3 linked regions of the Macaca fascicularis genome follow. The protein of the gene in region 1 interacts with the protein of each later gene in a biochemical or structural test. Links are inferred from orthologs where the notes say so. Each region holds a gene or a part of one and is shown on either strand. Other genes may lie near its edges.

Region 1 (3,745 bases):
GATGAGAATCTTACCAGCTTTGTACCAATTGAACGGATGGTGTTCTGAGAAGATTATCTGGAAGGAGACTTATTTCTTTCATTATATTTGCCAGTCTGACAGGCAACTCTTGCCGAAGAAACATAAATGAGGTCTTTTCACAAGCATTCACTGATCCTGAAACCAAACATGATGGGTAAAGCAGTAAGTAAAAGCCATAAGGAAACCGAAGGCAAGAGGCAGGGAGAAATGAGAGGCAGTTACCTGGCAAGGCCAGAGGGGTAGAATCACCACGATGGGGCAAGGAATAGAAGGCAAAGGTATCCCTGCCTGTGGGAGGTGAGGGATGAGATAACCCAGTCTCCAGAGTTATGACATTCCAATTACTGACATTCCAATGGCTCTGTACAGCAATTACGATAACCTTGTCTCCCTAACTTGTATCCTTATAGTGATGACCCATTTTAGAAGTGAGGTAAACTGAGCATTTCTGAGCAAGGCTTTATAAAATTAACAGCAGAACCTGGAAAAGTCTAGCCTGTACACCCTGTTGCTGCTATCATTTAGAAAATCTGTTTTTTAACTCTAGTTTTAAAAAGAGTTAATGTCTAAGAAACAGAAACTTTAAGGTGGTCTGAATGCAGTGGTATTTACGACTAATTGATTACGACCAGTTACAGATTTCTTTGTTCCTTCTCCACTCCCACTGTTTCACTTGACTAGCCTTAAAAAAATAAATTAAAAACAGGGGGCCAGGCACAGTGATTCATGCCTATAATCCCAGCACTTTGCGAGGCCGAGGCTTGAGGACTGTTTGAGCGCAGGGGTTCAAGACCAGCCTGGGCAACACAATGAGACCTCGTATTTATAAAAAATAAAAAACAGCTGGGCGTGGTTGTGCTTGCCTGTAATTCTAGCCTTGGGAAGCTCAGGCAGAAAAGTGAGGTTATAGTGACCTATGATAGCACCACTGCACTCCAGCCTGGGTGACAGAGTAAAACCCTGTCTCAATCAAAAAGAAAAGAGTAAAATTTTGATGTTTGCATATGAAGATTCACTGATTCCATATAGAACCACAAATGCTAATTACAGTAAGCAAAGAGTAAGTGGAGTCCAGGTGTGGTGGCTCACACCTATAATCACTTTGGGAGGCCAAGCTGGGAGGATGGCTTGAGCCCAGGAGTTTGAGACCAGCCTGGACAACATAGCGAGACCCCATTTCTAGTTTTAAAAAATACACACACACACACACACACACACGGGAAAAAAGAGTAAGTGCAGAGGAAAGCTTTCAAGCAACAGAAAGCAAAAACCACCACTGCCTGTTAGCACCATCTTCAAGTAGGTCCTATTCAATTGTCTGGTTACTGGAAAGTCTCCTGACCCCTCCACTCCCATATCACGATCCCATATCACTTCCTAAGCAGAATCGTTGTAGAATGTCCTTTGGCAAACAGCTCCACTTAATATTAAACTAAAAGGTCTTGCTATTCCAGTAATGCATTTTAAGCTTACTATTCTTGCTGCTTTAGCAGAGAAAACGTTAGCAAAAACTAGACTGTCAATAGTAGAAATTAAGTTATTAAAGGAAAACAGCTTGTGAAAGTTTCATGGCATACTTATGACCACCACCAAATTCGCCCCTACGTCGAACTAGTGTCATTTTAAAGTAAAAACAAAAACCTAAGGCTTTGACCCAAAAATTATGCGACTATAAACCACAGTTTTAAGACAAAGTTGTCAACCATGCAGGTATCATTCAATGCAGAAGTCACAATGCAGAAGATAACCTTTGTACTCAAATTTTATGAATTCATTAAGGTTTTCCCTTTTCCCCTCATTGCCTTGATAGGTAAGTGGGAAGTAAAAGTTAAAATGCCTAACTATGCAATTCCTTCTGCAATCTGTTTAACAGCTTATCGAGAAAACAAGGATAATCTGGTAAACTTCACAGCATCCTGTCCTCATGCACTCAACACGTGCTCAAGACTTACTTGCTGATGATGAAATGCGCTGTTGGTGCAAACAATTTATGCTACTGGCAAGGAAAACATTCTAAGAAACTCTGGGCCAGTTATAACCTGCCTTGCCTATCATCACGCCATTTCTATGCAATCAGCATATGCAAAACTGGGCATTCATCATCACTGCGCGGAATCCAAAAGCGATCCTCGGGGGTGTCCACGCTCGGCCTCCCACGCGGGCGCGCCTCCTCGGAAGGGGCCTGGCCGAGCGCGCACCTGCACACGTGCGCCGGAAGGCGGGAGGTCATTCCGCGCGGCCCAGCTGGTTTGTTTTCAACAATACGATCAAAGCCACACGCCCACCGTTATTTACGCCGTCAGCCAGCGCCGGCACTTGGAGGAAGGAAGCACCTAAGGCGCTGGGGGCGGAAACACTGAGGAGGAGGGCTGCGCCTCAGGCGAGAGCTGGCCGGCACCGACCGGGCCTGGAGCAGGGGCCGCAGCTCCCCGCCTGGGACCGCGCACAAAGGCCCGAAGTCCGGGCCGCACTCACCGAAGTCCAGGAACTGCTTCATGGAGAGCGGGGACGGTGAGAAGCGCGCGTAGAAGTCCACCTGGCCCGGAACGCCGCGCTCGGGCGCCGGGCCGGAGCCCGAGTCCGAGCTGAAGGAGCGGCTGGGGCCGGCGGCGCGCAGCCCCGGGCCCGGGACGGGCAAGGCAGCTCCGCGAAGCAGCCGCGCCAGCCTCATGCCGAGCCCCGCTAGAGAAGCCAGAGCCCGGGCGCCACGTTTCCCCGCGCCTCTGCCGAGTGGTACGTGAGGGACGTGGCGGGCAGCAGGGGAGGGGAGCGGCTGTCACCGGCGCGGCCCCCACCCCTCTCGCCGGAGCCCGGCCCCCTGCGCCGCTGGGCGGGATGCAGAGCGGGAAGGAGGCGGGGAGAGAAAAGGGGGCGGGCGCTCGCGGGGCCCGCCCCCTCGCCGGATTCCCGCCCAGCCCTGCGGGGAAGTAGATGAGGAGCGCGCGCCAGGCCGCAGCCGGCGAGGTGTGGGGTGCGCGTGGCAGTTGTTCCCGTACATTTCAGGTGACGGGACCGGGGACACTAAGAGGCGAGGCGGTGTGGAGCGTCCCCTTCCCGCGCCCTTTTGAAACAAATCCCACCTTCCTGCTTCCTCTGCCCTCCTAGTCTCGGCCAAAAGGCTCAAGGACAGGGCGGCCCTCCGCTTGCACACACCGCGGTGTCCTGCTGCGAGCGCGTTCTAAAACCGCTTCTCTGTGACGCAAGCCACACATTTCAGGGTCAGAGAGCTTCAGGAGTCCCCGCTTGCCAAACAGTGGTACGTAAATACGAATGCTGAAGAGTGGGACGTGTGGCCCTAAATAGTATCACCGAGACGGCGGCCCCAGGAGGAGAGACGTACTGCCATGTACTGGCTGTGTGCCTTTGAGTTGAGCTCTTTAACCTCTCTGAGCCTCCATCTCTTTACCTGAAAAAGGAGCGTAGTATCTGCCTCAGTTGCTCTGACATGGGTAGTAGAGCTATCTGTGTTAGCACAATGCCGGGGACATACCAGATAATAAATGGGATTTATTTTTACCATTATTGCTTTTTAAAATTATGTCCTTATTAAGATTTTATCAGAACCACTTACCTGTGTTTTCCCTGAAGCACATTTTACCAAAAGTTTGAGAGAAAACAACAGTTTTTGGCCGTTTTGTAACTATTTGACGTATTCGAGTATCAGCAGTTCTTCTCCCACACTGACTGTAGGTTTTAGAAAGTGTAACGGGTACATAGTTTTGTG
Region 2 (3,645 bases), on another chromosome or scaffold:
GGCCTAGGATGGGGGACGGGTGGAGTGGGCTGTATGCAGCCCCCGAGCCTGCTCTGCTCTCACTGAGAGCCCCTGCCTGCCTGCTGCACCTGCAGGGGTCCTGTGGCTGGGGGAGGGGACCTGGGAGGTGAGGTGGAGCTGCGTGGCACGTATGTGCGTCTCTGTGCACACTCGGGGGTGTGCGTGTGAGATCCCAGGCCAGGGACAGGAGCCGGCGCCCAAGGGTGGCCGGACCACGCCTGCCCGGCAGCCCACTGGCAGGGGCATGGAGGGCTCAGTGGAGTGGGTGGGGTCCCCTGATGAGTGCTCTTGGGCTTGGGGCAGATTCTGGGCCCTAGACCCTCCTCCCCAGATGGGCAACTGGGTGTTGGCCATCCTCCAGGGGTGTCAGGCACCTGTGAGTGGGCTGTGGCTGTCCCCTCCCCGGTCCACCCCAGACCAGACAACAGCCTCTCCCCACACTCAGGCCCTGCTGGGTGGACTGTGGCTGTCCCCTCCCCGGTCCACCCCAGACCGGACAACAGCCTGTCCCCACACTCAGGCCCTGCTGGGTGGAGTGTCCCCACCCCCACCAGCATCCCCCCAGCAGCCCTGGCTTGGGCAGAGTGAGGGCTGGTCCTGTGGAGACCACACCCCATGGTGCTGGTGGGAAGGGCATCGGGTAGCTGGGACTGGGGCAGGAGGGAGAGGTCACCTGGCCGGGGGGTGGCCATTTGTCGAGCCTTGGTGACTCACCTCTGAAAGAGCTCGCCCGTGGCTCCCTGGAAAGTAGAATGCCTTGCCCGCTGGGATGCCCACGCCCTGTGTCCTCTGAGCTCCCCTGGGGCTGCTGCCCTGCTGGGACTTCCCTGTGCACCAGGGAGGGCTGGACACGTCTGGGCTCACCATGCAGACCCAGCAGGACCAGGTGGTGGGTGGTCTGGTGATGGGACAATTGCTTGTCCCCCACATCCCTACAGGTGTCCCGGTCAGGGGCTCAGTGTGGCAGGAAAACCCAGGCCCCAGAGCTCAGGGACCCCAACCCCTTACCCTGGCCCCCACCCCAACCCCTGCCCAGTGGCCCCTCAGATGAAGCAGTTGCCTAATTAGTAAGTTCCCTGTTGTTCAAACTCCTTGCTCGGCAAAATGTAAGTGGAACATTTTTTTCCAAGTGTCAGTATGAAAAATGGTAGTTGCTGGGCTATCACCGAGGACAGCTGCTCTGATTCTGAAGTGTGAACGCCCGCGCATGGCTGATGCTGCAAAACTTGAGGGAAAACATTCCCGTGTACCTGAGTGACCCATGGGTGGAACACAGCAGGGCCGACGACGGCAGGGCCTGAGTGTGGGTCTCAGCCTGGGGACTTGACAGCCTCTGTGCCCCGGGGCCCCTGCCCAGCTGGCTGGGCCACCTCCGTGTCTGGCTTCACTGGCAGTCCCCAGGACTGTGCTCCAGGCCCCTAGACAGGGAGTGCTGTCCCACGGCAGTGGGGCAGTCCTGTCCCGCAAGCCCGGCCCTCAGTCTGAGTGATGCTGATCTCTCACTGCTGACGCCATGCTCCATCCTCTTGGTGGGTAGCAGGGGTCGGGGGGCGGCCCTGCTGGACAGCCCACACATGCCACTGTCAGCTGCTGTCGCCACCTGGCCAACCCTGGTTGATTGGGGAATGCTCTCAGCCCTGCAGCCCCTGTGGCCATAGCTGGTGCCGGAGCTGCTGCTGGTGCCTGCTGGGGACTGGCTGGTTTGGTGCTGCCTCTTCCAGGAAGGCTGTGCAGATTGGCCCAGACCTCTTCCCAGCCTCCTGTCAATGGTACTCCATCCCCTGCGTCCAGCTGGCCCAGCCCGTTTTCACACACAGATAGGGGTGGCTCTTCTGAGAGGGGCGCTGTGGTGGGGCGAGTCTGCCTTCCCACTGACCCAGGGCTGTTTCTGTCGCTTGCCCTAAGAAACAGCTCCCCCACTGCGCCTGCCCCCCGGGACTCAGGCGTCCCAGGCACATCTGTCCTGGCACACCAGTTGCTACCTGGCTGCCTGGCGAGGGTCTGACGGGTAGAGTGTGCATGGCCCTCACCACCTGCACGTCCGTAGGGGAGTACATCAAGACCTGGCGACCACGCTACTTCCTCCTCAAGAATGATGGCACTTTCATTGGCTATAAGGAGCGGCCGCAGGACGTGGACCAACGTGAGGCCCCCCTCAACAACTTCTCTGTGGCACGTAAGTGTCCCCTCAGCCTTTCGGGATTCAGATTTGGGGTTGGCTGGAGCCCTCTTTGCCCACCAGGCCCCCCGATGGGGGTGCCCTGGAGCCTCCATGTTCTGGGCCAGCAAGCAACAAGCACGGGTTGGGTGGGGGTCTCTGGGCTGAGTCCCGAGGCTGGCTGGGCAGGGGTCTCCAGGCTGAGTCCCAAAGCCGAGGCTGACTGGGTGGGGGTCTCCAGGCTGAGTCCTAAGGCTGAGGCTGGCTAGGCGGGGGTCTCTGGGCCGAGTCCCGAGGCCGAGGCTGGCTGGGCAGGGGTCTCTGAGCTGAGTCCTGAGGCTGGCTAGGCGGGGGTCTCTGGGCCGAGTCCCAATGCTGGCTGACTGTGGAGCAGTTCCCTGGTGCCCATGCTCTGGAGGCTGGAGGGTCCAGACAAGTGGTAGCAGAGCCTAGCCTCAGGGTGGACAGCTGACCCGGGGGCCCCTCCTCCAAGCGGGGCAGATAGAGCCCACCTGGGTCTCTAGCTCTGAAGCCTCCATCACTCGAGGAAGAGCTCATGCCTCTGCCCGCACAGGCGCTCGGTCCCCAAACCCCGTGGTGGAACCTTTGCTTCCCTCTGTGAGGCTGCAGGCTGGAAGCCTCCTTGCCCACGAAGGGGCGGGTGCAGAAAGGCCAGCGGGGGACCTTGGCCAGAGCATCCCACAGAGATGAGAGACGTGACACTCCCTGCTTCGCCCTGCTGTGGCTTTATTTCCTACCTGTAGCGGGGGCAGGTGCGACCCTACCCATGTTAGACGGGAACCCTGGCATGGAGACCCAGGCGCCCTGCTAGGTGGGAGGCTGGGGGCACATGGGCCTCCCAGCATGGTCCCCATTTTCTGTGTCCCTGTCCTGGAGCCCAGCTCTGCCCGTGGCAGCCAAAGGTGTGATTGAGTAGCTAAGTAGGACCCAGTTGTGGGCCATCTGTATGTGGCAGGGCTGCGTAACTTGCCCCACGCCCTCCCCAGTGTCTCCTTGGTTGGGGCTGGCGGCTTCAGGGATCAGGGAGAGGCTGGATACTCGCTGTGTGCCTGGTGGCACCTGGGACAGGGCCTTGCTGGGGACGGGTGCTGTGGGTGTGCTCGCCAGGCCGAGGCATCAGGAAGGAAGGAAGAGGGGAGCTCTCTGGGGAGGCACACGGGTGGGTACCAGCTGGGGTGGTGCCTGAGCAGCCGGCAAGGCTGGGGCCTTCAGATGAGGCCATAGGTGGGTGGTCTGGAGTGCCTGGCCAAGGAGCAGAGCTGGGCAGGGGCCAGGAGCTTTTCTCCGGGGAAGGGTTCCGGGGCAGTGGGCTCGAGACCCTGGCCCTGGGGATTGCATATTAGGGCAGATCAGACCATCCAGGAGCAAGTGGGAGGTGGGTGTGCCGGGGCTTCACACTGGTTTCCACTTCTCTGGCCTGTGTTGACACAGGCCACCCTCCCCAC
Region 3 (3,645 bases), on another chromosome or scaffold:
GCTGGGCACGGTGGCGCTTAACTGTAGTCCCAGCTACTTAGGAGGCTGAGGCAGGAGAATTGCTTGAACCCGGGGGTGGAGGTGCAGTGAGCTGAGATCACACCACTGCTCCAGCCTGGGCGGCTTAGCAAGACTCCATTTCAAAAGAAAAAAGGGGGGAAAAAAAAGTAGGTTTTTTAAAAAAACACATAATAGAATCTTAATATACTAGGAAAAGAAACAGTTGGGATATAATTTTGTGCTGTTAATTCTTCATCATTCACTAACTGATGAGAACAAGGACTCCATAATGAAGTTGACAAGATAAGGCAATGTACTGAAATACAAATAGGAAGGGGAAGGTAGGCTCCACTGCTAGAGGCTCTTGCTTACTTATAAAATAGCAGACACCTAAAAGGAAACATTATAAATCACCATCCAAATCTACTCAACTCATCGCTCAAATGGTAGGATATGAAGCACTAGGTTTTTAAAAGCAAACCAAGCCCCCAAAATACAGTCACGCATCGCTTAACAACAGGGATATATTCTCAGAATTGCATCACTAAGCTATTTTGTCGTGTGAACACCATACTGTAATGCACAAACCTAGAAGGTACAGCCTACTGCACACCTAGGCTGTATGGTAGAGCCTACTGCTCCTAGGCTACAACGCTGCACAGCATGTGACTGTACTGAATCCTGTAGGCAAAATATTTGCGTACCTAAACATAGAAAAGGTAATGTGTTGTGCCACTACAACATCACTAGGTGACAGCAATTTTTCAGCTCTATTATAAGTTTATGGGTCCACCATCATATATGCGACATTGACCAAAGTGTCACTGTGCAGCACATGGCTATACTACTTCACGAAAAGTTGTCTGGGGCTGGGAAAGTTTTTGAAGACAAAGGCCAGGGCCAAATCTAAAGCAGCACACAGTCCTCGTCCTTGACTACCTGCGCTCCCACGATGCCATTGCCCCCGTAGAAGTTCTTGGCATACATGTGCATCGATCCTCCTTTCCCTTTAGCACAACCTCCTTTTCGTCCTGGAAATGGCAGAACATACACATGTGCAGCACAAACCAACTCTACAAAGCAAACCAAACCACACCCCAAGTGGCTCAACCATTAGAACGCAGAGGCCAATTCAGTCATCTAAGTACCTGTCTCTCCAGGCAAACACGTTTCTGCTTGTCCTTTTACTAGTTCCATGTGCTTCAACCTTTCCAGCTTTTCCTACTCTCCAGTCACTTAGTTTCCTTCAGATGTTAGCAAAAGTCCAGATGGTACCGTAGACTTTTTTGGTTTTTTGACCAGTTACCAACATCTTAGGACCTCTCCTCTACTAGTACACTAAATATATTCAATCCTTGAACAGGGTTTGAACTGCACGGGTACACTTATACAGATTTTTTTTTTCAGCCACACATGGATTGAAAATACAATATTCTCAGGATGCAAACCCGAAGATATGGAAGGCTGACTTCAGGACTTGAGTATTTGAGGATTTTGGTATATTCAAGGGTCCTAGAACCAATCCCCTGGATATATGGAGGGACAACCATAGTTCAAGAGTCAAGGAGGGCCGGGTGCAGTGGCTCACGCCTGTAATCCTAACACTTTGGGAGGTCGAAGTGGGTAGATCACCTGAGGTCAAGAGTTCGAGACCAGCCTGGCCAACATGCTGAAACCTGGTCTCTACTAAAAATACAAAAATTAGCCAGCTGTGGTGGTTTGGCACCTATAATCCTAGCTACTCGGGAGGCTGAGACAGGAGAATTGCTTGAACCTGGGGGATGGAGGTTGCAGTGAGCCAAAATCACACTTCACTCCAGCCACTCCAGCCTGGGCAAAAGAGCGAAACTCTGTCTTCAAAACAAAAAAATATATATAAGAAGAAGGGCTGGGCACAGTGGCCCACACCTGTAATCCTAGCATTTTGGGAGGCTGAGGCAGGCCACTGCACTCTAGCCTGGGCAACAAAGCAAGACTGTCTCAAAAACACAAAACAGGCCAGGCGTGGTGGCTCATGCTTGTAATCCCAGCACACTTTGGGAGGCCGAGGCAGATAGATCACCTGAGGTCAGGAGTTGGAGACCAGCCTGGCCAACATGGTGAAACCCCATCTCTACTAAAAATACAAAAATTAGCCGGGTGTGGTGGTGCATGCCTGTAGTCCCAGCTACCTGGGAGGCTAAGGCATGAGAATTGCTTGAACCTGGGAGGTGGCAGTTGCAGTGAGCTGAGATCACACCACTGCATTCCAGCCTGGACAACAGAGTGAGACACAGTCTCAAACAAAACAAAACAAAACAAAAAAAAAAACCAAAACAAAAAAATAGTCAAGGGGGACAAAGAAAAGGGGAATATTAAGAAGATTTCTAGAATTTACATCGCATACCAAGCTTCAACCCAACTTACTTTTTTATGACTGCTAGACTTCTGCTGGCATGCTTGAATGATAACCAAATCTACTGTGATTTTATAGCACTAAACTGTTTTAAACTTTTACCTGAGGGGCCAGAGAACTTCACAAATGGTCAGTTAACTCAAGAGCACAACAGAAGTACCAGAGCACCAAAGGAGAGAGGGTTAAAAAAAGAAACTTAAAACTTTAAATATTAACTCATAAAATAGCATCTTAATGAGAGATATTTAAAAACTTAATCCACTCATTTCCCCTTTCTGTAAATCAACAGCAAACCTGTAAGCTCTGCGAGAATTTCTCGGACGGAAAGGCCCCGGGTGAAGGTAAAGCCATGAGCCCGGTAGGCTGTTATGAGATGGTCTGTGGGGTTGATGCCGGCTTCCAGGCCCACACAGCAAGCTTCCTGTTAGAGGAAGGAGAAACTATGAAGCAATACGATACATGTTTCTAAATAAAAACGTTTCCTAGACCGTAGTGAAATATTTGGGCTAGTAGAACCTGTCATTAATAACCAGAGAAAGTAGCTATTTTCCACCAAAATACAGAGCGGACGGCCCAAGCCAGAAGCAATAAACTGGCAACCCACACATGGGCCACTTCCTTCCTTTCTCCTGTATGGTGACCTAAAAGCAAATCCTACATCAGATGTCAACATTAAAACACTGGGGAATTTCACATGAAAATCCAGACTTCCGCCTTCTCTTGGAGACATGGAAAACAGGAAGCATTACCCCTGATTTCCACATGGCACCAACTGGCTGGAACCAAGTCATGGCATTCCTCTGGGTAGGGCATGCTGGTCCCAGTTCAGCACGAGTCCCTGTCACCATTCTGTTTTGTATACCTAGCCTTCTTCACTCATTTATTCTACCTGGCTGGCCCTTATAGGTATTTGATTCTATAACCCTTGACATAAGCCCACAAAACAAAAAACAAACTAATCCTTTCTCTCCAAATTATATACAGTACAGGTGATCACAGTGCCAGAAAGTTTTAAAATAGTAAAACTCTGAGAACAGAAAACTGGCAATGTTATGTGTGAATGAATTCTTTAGCCTAAGCTTCATAGCAGGTTTTGGCATTCTACTTTTTAATTCTAAAATACTGGCTTCAGCCAGGCACAGTGGCTCACGCCTATAATCCTAGCACCTTGGGAGGCTAAGGTGGGCAGACCACTTGAGCCCAGAAGTTTGAGACCAGCCTGGGCAACACAGTGAGACCCCGTCTCTCCA

The links.
Region 2: of the proteins of PDK1 (region 1) and AKT1, one has a biochemical effect on the other in vitro, tested with the Homo sapiens proteins (3 studies listed by BioGRID and IntAct, with this or other methods). The link is inferred for Macaca fascicularis from reciprocal best matches to the Homo sapiens genes PDK1 and AKT1.
Region 3: the proteins of PDK1 (region 1) and PDHA1 form a complex in vitro, tested with the Homo sapiens proteins (2 studies listed by BioGRID, with this or other methods). The link is inferred for Macaca fascicularis from reciprocal best matches to the Homo sapiens genes PDK1 and PDHA1.

The regions. Positions count from the first base shown.
Region 1 is NC_088386.1:68,102,492-68,106,236, reverse strand, and holds the start of PDK1 (pyruvate dehydrogenase (acetyl-transferring) kinase isozyme 1, mitochondrial), read right to left. Parts: upstream 2,824-3,745; 5' UTR 2,693-2,823; coding exon 2,497-2,692; exon of another isoform or gene 2,380-2,496; intron 2,353-2,379; exon of another isoform or gene 1,974-2,352; intron 157-1,973; coding exon 15-156; intron 1-14. UniProt on the Homo sapiens protein: Kinase that plays a key role in regulation of glucose and fatty acid metabolism and homeostasis via phosphorylation of the pyruvate dehydrogenase subunits PDHA1 and PDHA2.
Region 2 is NC_088381.1:172,972,636-172,976,280, reverse strand, and holds part of AKT1 (RAC-alpha serine/threonine-protein kinase), read left to right. Parts: intron 1-2,068; coding exon 2,069-2,197; intron 2,198-3,645. UniProt on the Homo sapiens protein: AKT1 is one of 3 closely related serine/threonine-protein kinases (AKT1, AKT2 and AKT3) called the AKT kinase, and which regulate many processes including metabolism, proliferation, cell survival, growth and angiogenesis.
Region 3 is NC_088395.1:19,218,196-19,221,840, reverse strand, and holds part of PDHA1 (pyruvate dehydrogenase E1 component subunit alpha, somatic form, mitochondrial), read right to left. Parts: intron 2,817-3,645; coding exon 2,690-2,816; intron 1,032-2,689; coding exon 940-1,031; intron 1-939. UniProt on the Homo sapiens protein: The pyruvate dehydrogenase complex catalyzes the overall conversion of pyruvate to acetyl-CoA and CO(2), and thereby links the glycolytic pathway to the tricarboxylic cycle.